3 linked regions of the Anolis sagrei genome follow. The protein of the gene in region 2 purifies or fractionates together with the protein of the main gene of each other region. This does not show direct contact. Links are inferred from orthologs where the notes say so. Each region holds a gene or a part of one and is shown on either strand. Other genes may lie near its edges.

What was found.
Region 1: the proteins of EXOC1 (region 2) and EXOC6 purify together in Homo sapiens (affinity purification with mass spectrometry; 4 studies listed by BioGRID and IntAct, counting the BioPlex papers as one, with this or other methods). This does not show direct contact. The link is inferred for Anolis sagrei from reciprocal best matches to the Homo sapiens genes EXOC1 and EXOC6.
Region 3: the proteins of EXOC1 (region 2) and EXOC7 purify together in Homo sapiens (affinity purification with mass spectrometry; 4 studies listed by BioGRID and IntAct, counting the BioPlex papers as one, with this or other methods). This does not show direct contact. The link is inferred for Anolis sagrei from reciprocal best matches to the Homo sapiens genes EXOC1 and EXOC7.

What each region holds. Positions count from the first base shown.
Region 1 is NC_090023.1:186,661,822-186,665,575, reverse strand, and holds the start of EXOC6 (exocyst complex component 6), read left to right. Parts: upstream 1-1,122; 5' UTR 1,123-1,262; coding exon 1,263-1,384; intron 1,385-3,754. UniProt on the Homo sapiens protein: Component of the exocyst complex involved in the docking of exocytic vesicles with fusion sites on the plasma membrane.
Region 2 is NC_090025.1:73,466,290-73,470,043, forward strand, and holds the start of EXOC1 (exocyst complex component 1), read right to left. Parts: upstream 2,565-3,754; 5' UTR 2,467-2,564; intron 1-2,466.
Region 3 is NC_090022.1:118,826,891-118,830,644, reverse strand, and holds the start of EXOC7 (exocyst complex component 7), read left to right. Parts: upstream 1-1,551; 5' UTR 1,552-1,673; coding exon 1,674-1,733; intron 1,734-3,754. UniProt on the Homo sapiens protein: Component of the exocyst complex involved in the docking of exocytic vesicles with fusion sites on the plasma membrane.

The sequences.
Region 1 (3,754 bases), on a different chromosome or scaffold from region 2:
AGCTCATGCTGCTCCCCGGATTCGAACCTGCGACCTTTTGGTCAACACGCTCAGCAGCTCAGCGGTTTAACCCACTGCGCCACCGGGGGCTCCATCTCAGGTTGTTAATAGGAACAGAGCTCACAACTCCTCTGTTGCGCCAGCTCCACTGCTGCCAGTTTGCTTCTGGGCACAATTCAAAGTGCTGGCTTTAGCCTATAAAGTCCTAAGTGGTTCTGGATCTGCTTACCTATCCGAAAGTATCTCTCCTTATGAACCATCTAGGACACGAAGATCTTTTGGAAAGGCCCTACTCACAGTCCCACCTTCCTCACAGATGTGTTTGGCGGGGACAAGACATAGGGTCTTCTCAGTAGTGGCCCCTCAATTGTGGAACGCCCTTCCCAGGGATATAAGAGAGGGCCCCTCCCTCCTGACTTTTCGAAGAAAGGTTTAAACCTGGCTTTTGAGCAGGCTTTTGCTAATCCAGCATAATTATACGAAATCATGGAACGACCTGATGATGCAATTGAATAACGATTTTAACAAGGAGGCGCTCACAATAATGGTTTTATGGCTTTGTACGGTTTTTATATTTTTATATTTTACATAAATGCTTTTAATGGTATTTTATGATTGTTTTATTTCTTGAGGCATCAAATGTTGCCAACTGTGAACGCCCCGAGTTGCCTTCGGGCTGAGAAGGGCGGTATACAAATATGGTAAATAAATAAATAAATTTTATTGATTTATGTTTTATTAGGTTTTACCTTTTATGTATAACTGTTTGATGGATTTTATATTCTGGTATGCTCTATGCCACCTTGGGTCTGCGCTGTGGAGAAAGGTGGGGTAGAAATGCTTCAAATAAATAAATAAATAAACAAACACTATAACTCCTAAAATGCCAATCTAACATGATTGATGGCCCTACCAGGTGGAGGTGGGTGGGAGTTGCAGTCTAACTTACCAACATTTCCAGGCTTTATGGTTATATAAAATAAACATCCAGCATTTTGATTGATTGCTTCTTGGCTGCATTAAAATAGGTAGGCATGAAACAGATCTGGCGTCATAACAAGTCTGGGGTCATAAGGAAAAGGCTACTTATAGCAGGCTGGATGACAACAGCTGTGTCACACTTGTGGGCAGAATGTCTTCAGGACGCCCAATGTCAAATCAGGATTTGCTTTCTCCTTTTGCTGGTGAGAGAGTCTTTCATTCCGGTGATATTAAAAGAAGACGGTCCTCCCTTTATGCCTGGAACAGTTTAGTGCTTTACCATGGCTGCCAATGCCAGTCCTAACACAGATGGATTTTGCATGGAAGAAAACAAAGATAATGTGTATGAAACAGTCCTTGGTGAGATTAAATACTTGGAGCTGCCCCTGGGAATCACTTTAGGGTGAGTATCTCCTGCCAAGAATGTACTTTATGCTCCTTCCGCTGGGTTTGTTGTAAAATATTCAGAGCAATTATACTATATTTTCTTATTTTAATAAAAACAGACCTAGTTATAAACCAGCCTGTACAGGTTGACATCCCAAAGCTGAAAATGCATTCTTTGTTTTCAATTACTATGATGAAAAGCATTTAAGTTCAGGATGTTAAGAGGCTGTTCTTAAAAAATACTTTTCTCATTCCCATTTCTGATCAAAATGTGTGATGGAATTATTTGTTTTAGGTCTATCTTTGTGGTGGTATGGCTAACAGGTTTTTACTAACAGCTGAAATGTTGATTTATGACGATATATTTATATCTTCCGTTCTTATGCTAAAGAAACAAATAATGCAGTTGTTTTTGGGGGGAAGGGGTTGCACTTCATATACGAATTGCCTGTTAAACATATGCATGCTTCTAGATAAGTCTACATAATTAAATACAGAATTATCTGATATTTGTAATAGAAGATTAACTTACCCTGTGTTAAAATATAGCAATTAGCAAACAAAAAAAGGCAAATCTCTTCATGATTTTTTTTTGTCGTAATGCATATCAGATTACATGGTATCATATTCGAGTTTATTTATAGTAGCTCATGGGAGTATTTTAAAATAACATAGCTGTACTTGTGTGTATTGATTTACGAAGAAGATTACACTGCAGAAACTATTAGTATAAGACACTTGATTTGTCCTGTAATATCTGTGCATCATCATATAATGTAAATAAGGTGATGAAGCATTTTTGTACCAGGTTTTCATAAAGTTGTCATAGGGCCCTTCCACATAGCCATATAACCCAGAATATCAAGGCAGATAACTCATAATATCTGCTTTGAACTGGATTATCTGAGTCTATACTGCCATATAGCCCAGTTCAAAGCACATAATATGGGATTTTATAAGAAATAAGAAAGGGTTGCAGCAGTTATTGTTGCCAGGGTGGGCATGCTTCACTGTTCACTTTCAACATATTTCTTTTCTGTTTCCTCCATTCCACTTTTCCTTGGAATTGTAGTTTGGTGAGATGCCAACACTTTTTGACAGGGAAAGCTATATTTATTTATTTATTTATTTACTGCATTTGTTGACCGCCGTTCTCAGCCCTAGGGCGACTCCCGGCGGTGTACAACATATAAAAACAGTTTACAATAAGGCAATAACACAACAAATATCAACAACAACAATAATACAAATTACACTAAATCATCCGCGCCGTCTCATCTTGGAATCATAAACCAAACTCGTAATCCATATTCCGTTCCAGTCGTCATTGCCAATTGTTGTGGCACTTAGTCAAACGCCTTCTCAAATAACCATGTCTTTAGGCTCTTGCGGAATGACATAAGGGAGGGCGCCTGTCTGATGTCTGCAGGGAGGGTGTTCCACAGCAGGGGCCACCACCGAGAAGGCCCTATCCCTCGTCCCCGCCAGACGTGCCTGTGAGGCAGGCGGGATCGAGAGAAGGGCCTCCCCAGACGATCTCAAGGTCCTCGTGGGCTCATAGGTCGAGATGCGGTCAGAAAGGTATTTGGGCCGGAACCGTTTAGGGCTTTGTAGGCCAACACCAGCACCTTAAATTGGGCCCGGTAGCAGATCGGCAGCCAGTGGAGCTGGAACAACAAGGGCGTTGTGTGCTCCCTGCGTCCCGCTCCTATAGATCTTGTAAAACTACAACTCCCATGATTCCATAGCTCTGAGCCATGGATGTTAAAGTAGTGTCAAACTGCATTAATTCTACGGTGTTGATGCACTTTGGGACTAACATTTGGTTATAAAATACATTACAGCGACATAACAGCTAAAGTAATGTGAAATACATTGTGTGTGTGTGTGCACAAGCACACACATACATTCTTATTAAAAACATAAGTTTAGAACTGCTTAAAAACATGTAAATGATAATAATGAAGATATTCATTGCACAGTGCCTTGGTAGTCCTGGTGAGTTGAAAGCCGATAGGCAATTATTGAAATAGAATACCAAGCCGTCACGGAAGAAGTCGACGTTCTGTTTCCGCAACCAGCAACTAGCGTCTCACAGTTGTCTCAATGTCTTCATCAGAAGCATAATGATGTCCCCACAGATCTTCTTTCATTATCGGGAACAGATGGAAGTCAGACGGTGCTAAATCTGGACTGTATGGAGGGTGTCATATGGTGGTGAGATCCAGTCTCTGAAGTTTCAAGTCTGTGTGCTTTAATTTAAGGAGTCAGCATCCTGAGTACCCATCGTGCACAGATCTTCCGATAGCCAAGCAAAGCAGTAATGTGACCCACACGTTCTTTTGAAATGCCAACTATGCTTGAAATTTCTCTCTGAGTGATACTA
Region 2 (3,754 bases):
TAAAAATGGGCCCTATATTTTATATGGACAGTTTTTAAATAAATGTTAATACACACACAAATATAGGGTGTCATATAAATGTAGGCTGTTAGGAATTGTGGGAGTTAAAGTCCAAAACACCTGGAGGGCCAACGTTTTCCCATGCCTAGGGTAGTGGTTTGAATGTGAGTTTCCAATCTCCCCTATTTGGGCAAAGTCATGGAATGTGTGGTGGCTTCACAACTCCAGGGGTTCTTGGTAGACACCGATTATCTATATCTGGCAGTCTGGCTTTAGGCCAGGACATGGAACCTAAATAGCCCTGGTCGCCTTAGTAGATGAACTACGCCGGGAGCTTGAGAGGGGGAGTGTGTCCGTTGGTTCTGCTGGACCTCTCAGCGGCCTTCGATACCGTTGACCACGGTATCCTTCTGAGATGCCTTACAAGAATGGGACTTGGAGGTACTGCTTTGCAGTGGCTCTGGTCCTTCCTGGAGGGACAGTCCCAGAAGGCGTTACTGGGTGACACCTGTTCGACTCCACAACCATTGTCTTGTGGAGTCCTTCAGGGTTCAGTATTGTCCCCGATGTTGTTTAACATCTACATTAAGCAGCTGGGGGAGATCATCTGGAGTTTCGGAGTGCAATATTATCTGTATGCAGATGACGTCCAAATCTGTCACTCCTTCCCACCCATTACTAAGGAGGCTATCCAGACCTTGAACCAGTGCTTGGCAGCTGTCGGACTGGATGAGGGCTAAGAAATTGAAATTGAATCCAGACAAGACAGAGGTCCTTCTGGTCAGTCGAAAGGCCAAACAGGGCATAGGGTTACAGCCTGTATTGGATGGGGTTACACTCCCTCTGAAGATGCAGGTTTGCAGCTTGGGAGTGATCCTGGATTCATCGCTTAGTCTGGAACCCCAGATCTCGGTGGTGGCCAGGGGAGCTTTTGCACAGTTAAAACTTGTGCGCCAGCTGCACCTGTATCTTGATCTGGCTACGGTGGTCCATGCTCTTATTACATCCCGAATAGATTAATTCAACGCACTCTACATAGGGCTGCCTTTGAAGACTGTTCAGAATCTCCAACTAGTCCAATGAGTGGCAGCCAGATTACTAACTGGAACGACATACAGGGAGCATACCACCCCCTTGCTGTGTCAGCTCCACTGGCTGCTGGTCCATTTCCGAACACAATTCAAAGTGCTGGTCTTGACCTATAAAGCTCTATATCAGGGGTCCTCAAACTTTTTAAACAGAGGGCCACGTCACAGTCCCTCAAACTGTTGGAGGGCCGGATTATAATTTGAAAAAAACATGAATGAATTCCTAAGCCCACTGCACATATCTTATTTGTAGTAGGGAAAAAAACTTTAAAAGAATACAATAATTGAAATGAAAAACAATTTCAACGAATATAAACTTATTACTATTTCAATGGGAAGTGTGGTATTGCTTTTGGCTGATGAGATATGATTGTTGTTGTTTTCTGCTTTCAAGTCATTTCAGACTTAGGTTGACCCTGAGCGAGGGCCGGGTAAATGACCTTGAAGGGCCGTATCCAGCCCCCGGGCCTTACTTTGAGGACCCCTGCTCTATATGGTTCTGGCCCAGCTTACTTGTCCGAACGCATTCCACCTCGCAGTTTAAGATCATCTGGGGAGGCCCTGCTTTTTCTCCAGCCAGCGTTGCAAATGCATCTGGTGGGGACAAGAGACAGGGCCTTCTCGGCTGTCGCTCCCCGTCTGTGAAACTCGCTTCCCAACGAGATAAAATCGGCCTCATCCCTCCTGTTTTTTTTAGGAAGAAATTAAAATCATGGTTCTGGGACCAGGCTTTTGGACAGCAGGCATAATAGCACTTTGGATGTGGAATTCGACTGGAATGGTGATATGCCTGACATTACTGTTTTTATGGTTGTAATTAATGCTTTACTTATTGTTTTAATTGTTGTTTTATTGTATTGTTATATGTAACGGCATCAAATTGTTGCCAAGTGTAAGCCGTCCTGAATCCCCCTTTGGGGGTTGAGAAGGACGGGGTAAAAGTGCTAGAAATAAATAAATGTTGGATTATGGATAGAACCATACTGTCGAATCAATGCAGATGGTTATGCAATCTTTTTTAGTTTGTTGAGGCACCAGCCCTCTCAGGCAAAGAAGGCTAAAGACATTGTAAAACTACAACTCCCATAATTTCATAGTAGTTAAAGTTCAAGTGGTGTCAAATGCCTTATTTCTTCACTGTGAAGGCCATGGCAAACCCAGTGGGAGGCCTTAGGCCTGTCACACCCTCTCAGCCTCAGAGGAAGGGAAGGCCTCTTCTAAGCAAACCTTGGGGAGAAAAAGACTCCAACGAACATAACACACATTTGGAGAGAGAGGATGAAGAAGATAAAGGAAAACAAGGGGAAGGGCTTTACAACAGAAAGCCCTCTGGCTGGCCTGGCACAGGGCCCTTCCCTCCCCGCCCTGCTCTCCTTACCCTCAGAGCCAGGACTGAGGCCCCTCCGCTGCCTCCAGAGACGCCTGTCACGCCCAGCCCCGAAAGACCCGCCTCCCCATCCCCCGTCTTCCAATCGCAGCGCCTGCTTCAGTCGCGTGGGCAGGGCAAGGAAGCGGAAGTCCATGCAGACTGTGGAGACGGGGAAAAGGGAGAGACGAGTTTCTGGCGCTAGAGAGGGACGCACATTGGAACTTCCGGTGCTGGGTGTCTCTCCTCACTTCCGGTCGTGGCAGAGCCTTGCGGGAAGGAGCAAAGGATGCAGTTTCTGAGTTGTTGTAGGATTTTTTCGGGCTATATGGCCATGTGGTTCTCAACCTGGGGTCTCCAGATGTTTTTGGCCTACAACTCCCAGAAATCCCAGCCAGTTTACCAGCTGTTAGGATTTCTGGAAGTTGAAGGCCAAAAACATCTGGGAACCCCAGGTTGAGAACCACTGTGAGGCATTCTCTCCTGAAGTTTCGCCTGCATCTATGGCAAGCATCCTTAGAGGTTGTGAGGCCTCTTTTTTTTTTTTTTTTTGCAGTTTCTCTTTTGCAAAGGAGGCAGTTTGACATCCTCAGCCCCTTCCATACAGCTGTATAAAGTCCCACATTATCTGCTTTAAACTGGAATATATGGCAGTGTAGACTCACTTAGCCCAAAACTATCTTGACAGTGTATTGTTGAAGTATTGTCGAAGGCTTTCATGGCTGGAATCACTGGGTTGTTGTAGGTTTTTTCGGGCTATATGGCCATGGTCTAGAGCATCATCATCATCATTTAATAACTTATGAATCGCCCTCCATCCGAGAATGCTCTAGACGATTTACAGCTAAATTATAAAAGATAAAATACATACATACAAAAATTAAGAATTAACAGATCGAATGCTCTAGTAAAACGCCAGGTCTTAAGTGCGAGAGTAAAAGGCCCTAAGTCACGCATGGCTCTTATGTAGGGCGGCAAGGAAGAGCAGTGGTTCTCAACCTGTGGGTCCCCAGGTGTTTTGACCTACAACTCCCAGAAATCCCAGCCAGTTTACCAGCTGTTAGGATTTCTGGGAAATGAAGGCTACGACATCTGGGGACTCACAGGTTGAGAACCACTGGTCTAGAGGCATTCTCTCCTGACGTTTCGCCTGCATCTATGGCAAGCAGCCTCAGAGGTAGTGAGGTCTGTTGGAACTAGGAAAAATGGTTTATATATCTGTGAAATGACCAGGGTGGGACAAAGGACTCTTGTCTGCTGGAGCTAGGTGTGAATGTTACAACTGATCACCTTGATTAGC
Region 3 (3,754 bases), on a different chromosome or scaffold from region 2:
GGACAAAGTATTTACTTTTATCTGAGTTGCATCAAGAATAGCTGGCCCCCCACCTGAAAGGAATGTCCCAATTAAATTACAAATGACATGTCCTGAGTGTAAGAATTGGGGATTGGCCAAAGCAAACAAAGCATTCAACCTTTACTATTTCCCCCTCAAGATCAGCGCACAGGGACATCTAGTGGATAAGATATTTTGGATAAAGTTTTTTTAAAAGATGGACACTGCATTTCACTTGTTTCTTACCACATTTGTAGAATAAATAAATAAATAAATAAATGGTGGGATCACAAGTCTGAAAAAGTTACACAAAATCAAGACATCAATCTATTCCGGGACTTCTGAATTCAGACTGACAGAGTTTTGGAGCACAATACCCCTGACCTCACAATCCTGGGAAAAACAAAAAACAAAGTATGGATCACCGATGTTGCAATCCCAGGTGACAGCAGCATTGACGAGAAGCAACTGGAAAAGCTGACACAATATAAAGATTAAAAGATTGAAATGCAAAAACTCTGGCACAAGCCAGTCAAGGTGGTCCCAGTGGTGATCGGCACACTGGGTGCAGTGCCTAAAGATCTTGGCCTGCACTTAAAAACATTTGGCACTGACAAAATCACCATCTGTCAGCTGCAAAAGGACATCCTACTCAGATCTGCACACATTATTCGCTGATACATCACACAGTCCTAGACACTTGGGGAGTGTCCGACATGTGATCAAATACAAAAGCCAGCATGGCGAACTTGTTTAATGTGTTCTAATCTTTTTGTGTGTCTAATAATAATAATGATAATAATAATAATACATCAAACTGCAAAAACTCTGGCACAAGCCAGTAAAGGTGGTCCCAGTGATCTGGGACCTTGGCCTGCACTTAAGCCAGCATGGCGAACTTGTTTAATGTGTTCTAATCTTGTTGTGTTTCTAATAATAATAATAATAATAATAATAATAATAATCTTTATTTACATCCCACCACTTCTCCCCAAAACGACTTGGGGCAGCTAATCATCATCATAATAATAATAATAATAATCATCATCATCATAATAATAATAAACTTTATTTGTACCCTGCTACCATCTCCCCAAGGGACTTACAAAAGAAGAAACACAATAGAGTAATAGTAAACATACAACCAAATCAAACTTAATTCATAACATACTAATAAAATTCAGAAGGCTGTTAGGAATTGTGGGAGTTGAAGTCCAAAACACCTGGAGGGACAAAGTTTGCCCATGCCTGCTTTACAAGGTCTTTAGCCTTCTCTGCAAAAGACTGCTGGTATTTCATCAAGCTAAAAATCTCATGGTAGTTAAAGGAGTGTCAAACCGCATTTATTCTACAGTGCAGACACACCTTCAGGGATGGTTATTTTAGCACATTCCTCTCCTTGCGGGTCTCCCACTAGGGGGCGTTCGGCGCCTCGCCCAATAGGCTTGTGACATGCGCAGTAGCACTCCCTCTGACACTAGCTTTGCGGGTTCGACAGATTCGGAGGGCGCTCTTCCATTCGCCGGGGAATTTTCCCCTGCCTCTCTCAAGATGGCGACCTTCTCGGACCGGAAAAGGCGGGGAATGAGGCGGAAGTGGAGTGAGTGTTGACAGGAGCTGGAAGGCGCTTCAGCGGAGGCCTTGGAGCAGTCCAGGGCCGGCCTCGGGTCGGGATGATTCCCACGGAGGAGGCCTCGGCCCGGAGGAGAGAGATAGAGGAGAAGCTCAAGCAGGTGGGGCCTCAAGGAGGAGCAGGAGGCTGCAGCGCCATCAGCCCCCGGCCACGGCATTGAGTCATGAGGCTATACCAGGCCTGGGCAAACTTGGGCCCTCCCTCCAGGTGTTTTGGACTCCAACTCCCACCATTCCTAACAGCCTCAGGCCCCTTCCTTGAGGGGGAAAAGGAAAGGGCCTGAGGCTGTTAGGAATGGTGGGAGTTGCAGTCCAAAACACCTGGAGGGCCTAAGTTTGCTCAGGCCTGGACTATATTGTGTGTGTGAGGTGGAGGGTGTGTGTGTGTGCTTGTTTTCAGTCCTTTAAAGTATAACACAGGATTTGAATATATTTTAAGTGTTATGACTATGTTTAGGCAGATTTTTCATAATAGCAGCAGACTCTCAGTTAACTGGTACCAATGGGGATCAATATGAAAGTAGCTTCTGGTTGCTTGAGAGTTATTACTAAGAGCAGGCCTCAGTAATACTATGCCCCATACAATGCCATCCCATAAGCTCTATAACTGGATTGGTGTTAATATTGAAACACAATAATTGAAAGCATATTGAGACAGAAAGGGCAAATTTATTGTAACACAGTTTTATTGTTTTATGATATTCTAAAAACAGCATTTTTAAATTTAAAGTATTATTTCTTTTCTTTTTCTTTTTGTTGCTATCTGCCTGAGTGTTACAATTAATTGAGTTATTATTATGATTATGTTTATTTCTGATTAAAATGTTTAATTGTATGGTTTTAATTGTATTTGTTTATTTTTGTATTTATATGTATTTTCATAAAATTGCGGCCTGTTGTAAAGCCGCCCTGAGTCCCCTTTTAGGGTGAGAAAGGCGAGATACAAATATGTGAAATAATAAATAACAAATACCCCGCTTTTTCTCTCCATACGGCTACTCAAAGCGGATCACAACTAAAAGCATTGCAATACAGTCTAAAAATATACAAATATACAAGTATTAAAACAGTATTAAACATCATAAAAAGCATATAAAATCACAGCAGCCCCTGATGACCTTAAAAAACCTTCTTCTTTAAAAGCCTGCCTGACTAAAAAGGGTTTAACTTTCTGTCTGAAGGGGACTGTTCTGGCTTTCCTGGGGAGAAGGGAGTTCCAGGGTCGAGGGGCCGCCACCAAGAAGGAAGGCCTGTTCTCTTTCCCACCAACTGGACTTGAGATAGAGGTGGGACTGAGAGAAGGGCCTCTCCTGAAGATCACAGGGCCCAGGCAGGTTCATACAAGGGGATGTGGTCGGTCAAATAGCCTGGACTTGAACTGTCTAGGGCTTTAAAGGTCATAACCCGCACTTTGAATTGTGCCCGGAAACAGATAGACAGCAAGTGCAGCTTCTTCAACAGGGGGTTGTCAGCTCCTTGCAGCCAACCCCAGTGAGCAACCTGGCTGCAGCTCTTTGGAACAGCTGAAGTTTCCCAGCACTCTTCAGAGGCAGTTCCACGTAGAACGCATAACAGTAATCCAGATGGGATGTTACAAAGGCATGGACTACCGTGGCGAGATCTGGCTTCTCAAGGAATTAGCACACAAGTTTTAATTGTGCAAAGGTCCTCGCAGCCACTTTCAACACATGGACCTCCAGATCCAGGAGAACTCCCAAACTGCGGACCTATGTCTTCAGGAGAATGTGACCCCGTCCAGCACAAGCTGAATCCCTAGTCGCATAAGGCTGGAATGACTTGAAGGCACCCAGAAATAATAGAAGGTAGCTTTGAGTATAAAGGTGCCAGGATATACAGTGTAGTTGTTGAATCACAGAGTTGGAAGAAACCTCCCAAGGGCCATCCAGTCCAACCCCATTCTGTCATGCAGGAATATACAATCAAAGCACCCTGACAGATGGCAGTTCAATAAAGAAATAAATGACAAAAATGACAAAACCAATAGAAGTTGCACCTCTGGAGGATATCCAGAAGGCCCAGGTTGCCCTCCTAATTTGTTTGTTTGTTTTGGTATCCTGTTAGGCTTAGATGATCTTTCTGCTCTGTAATGGGATGTGTGTCC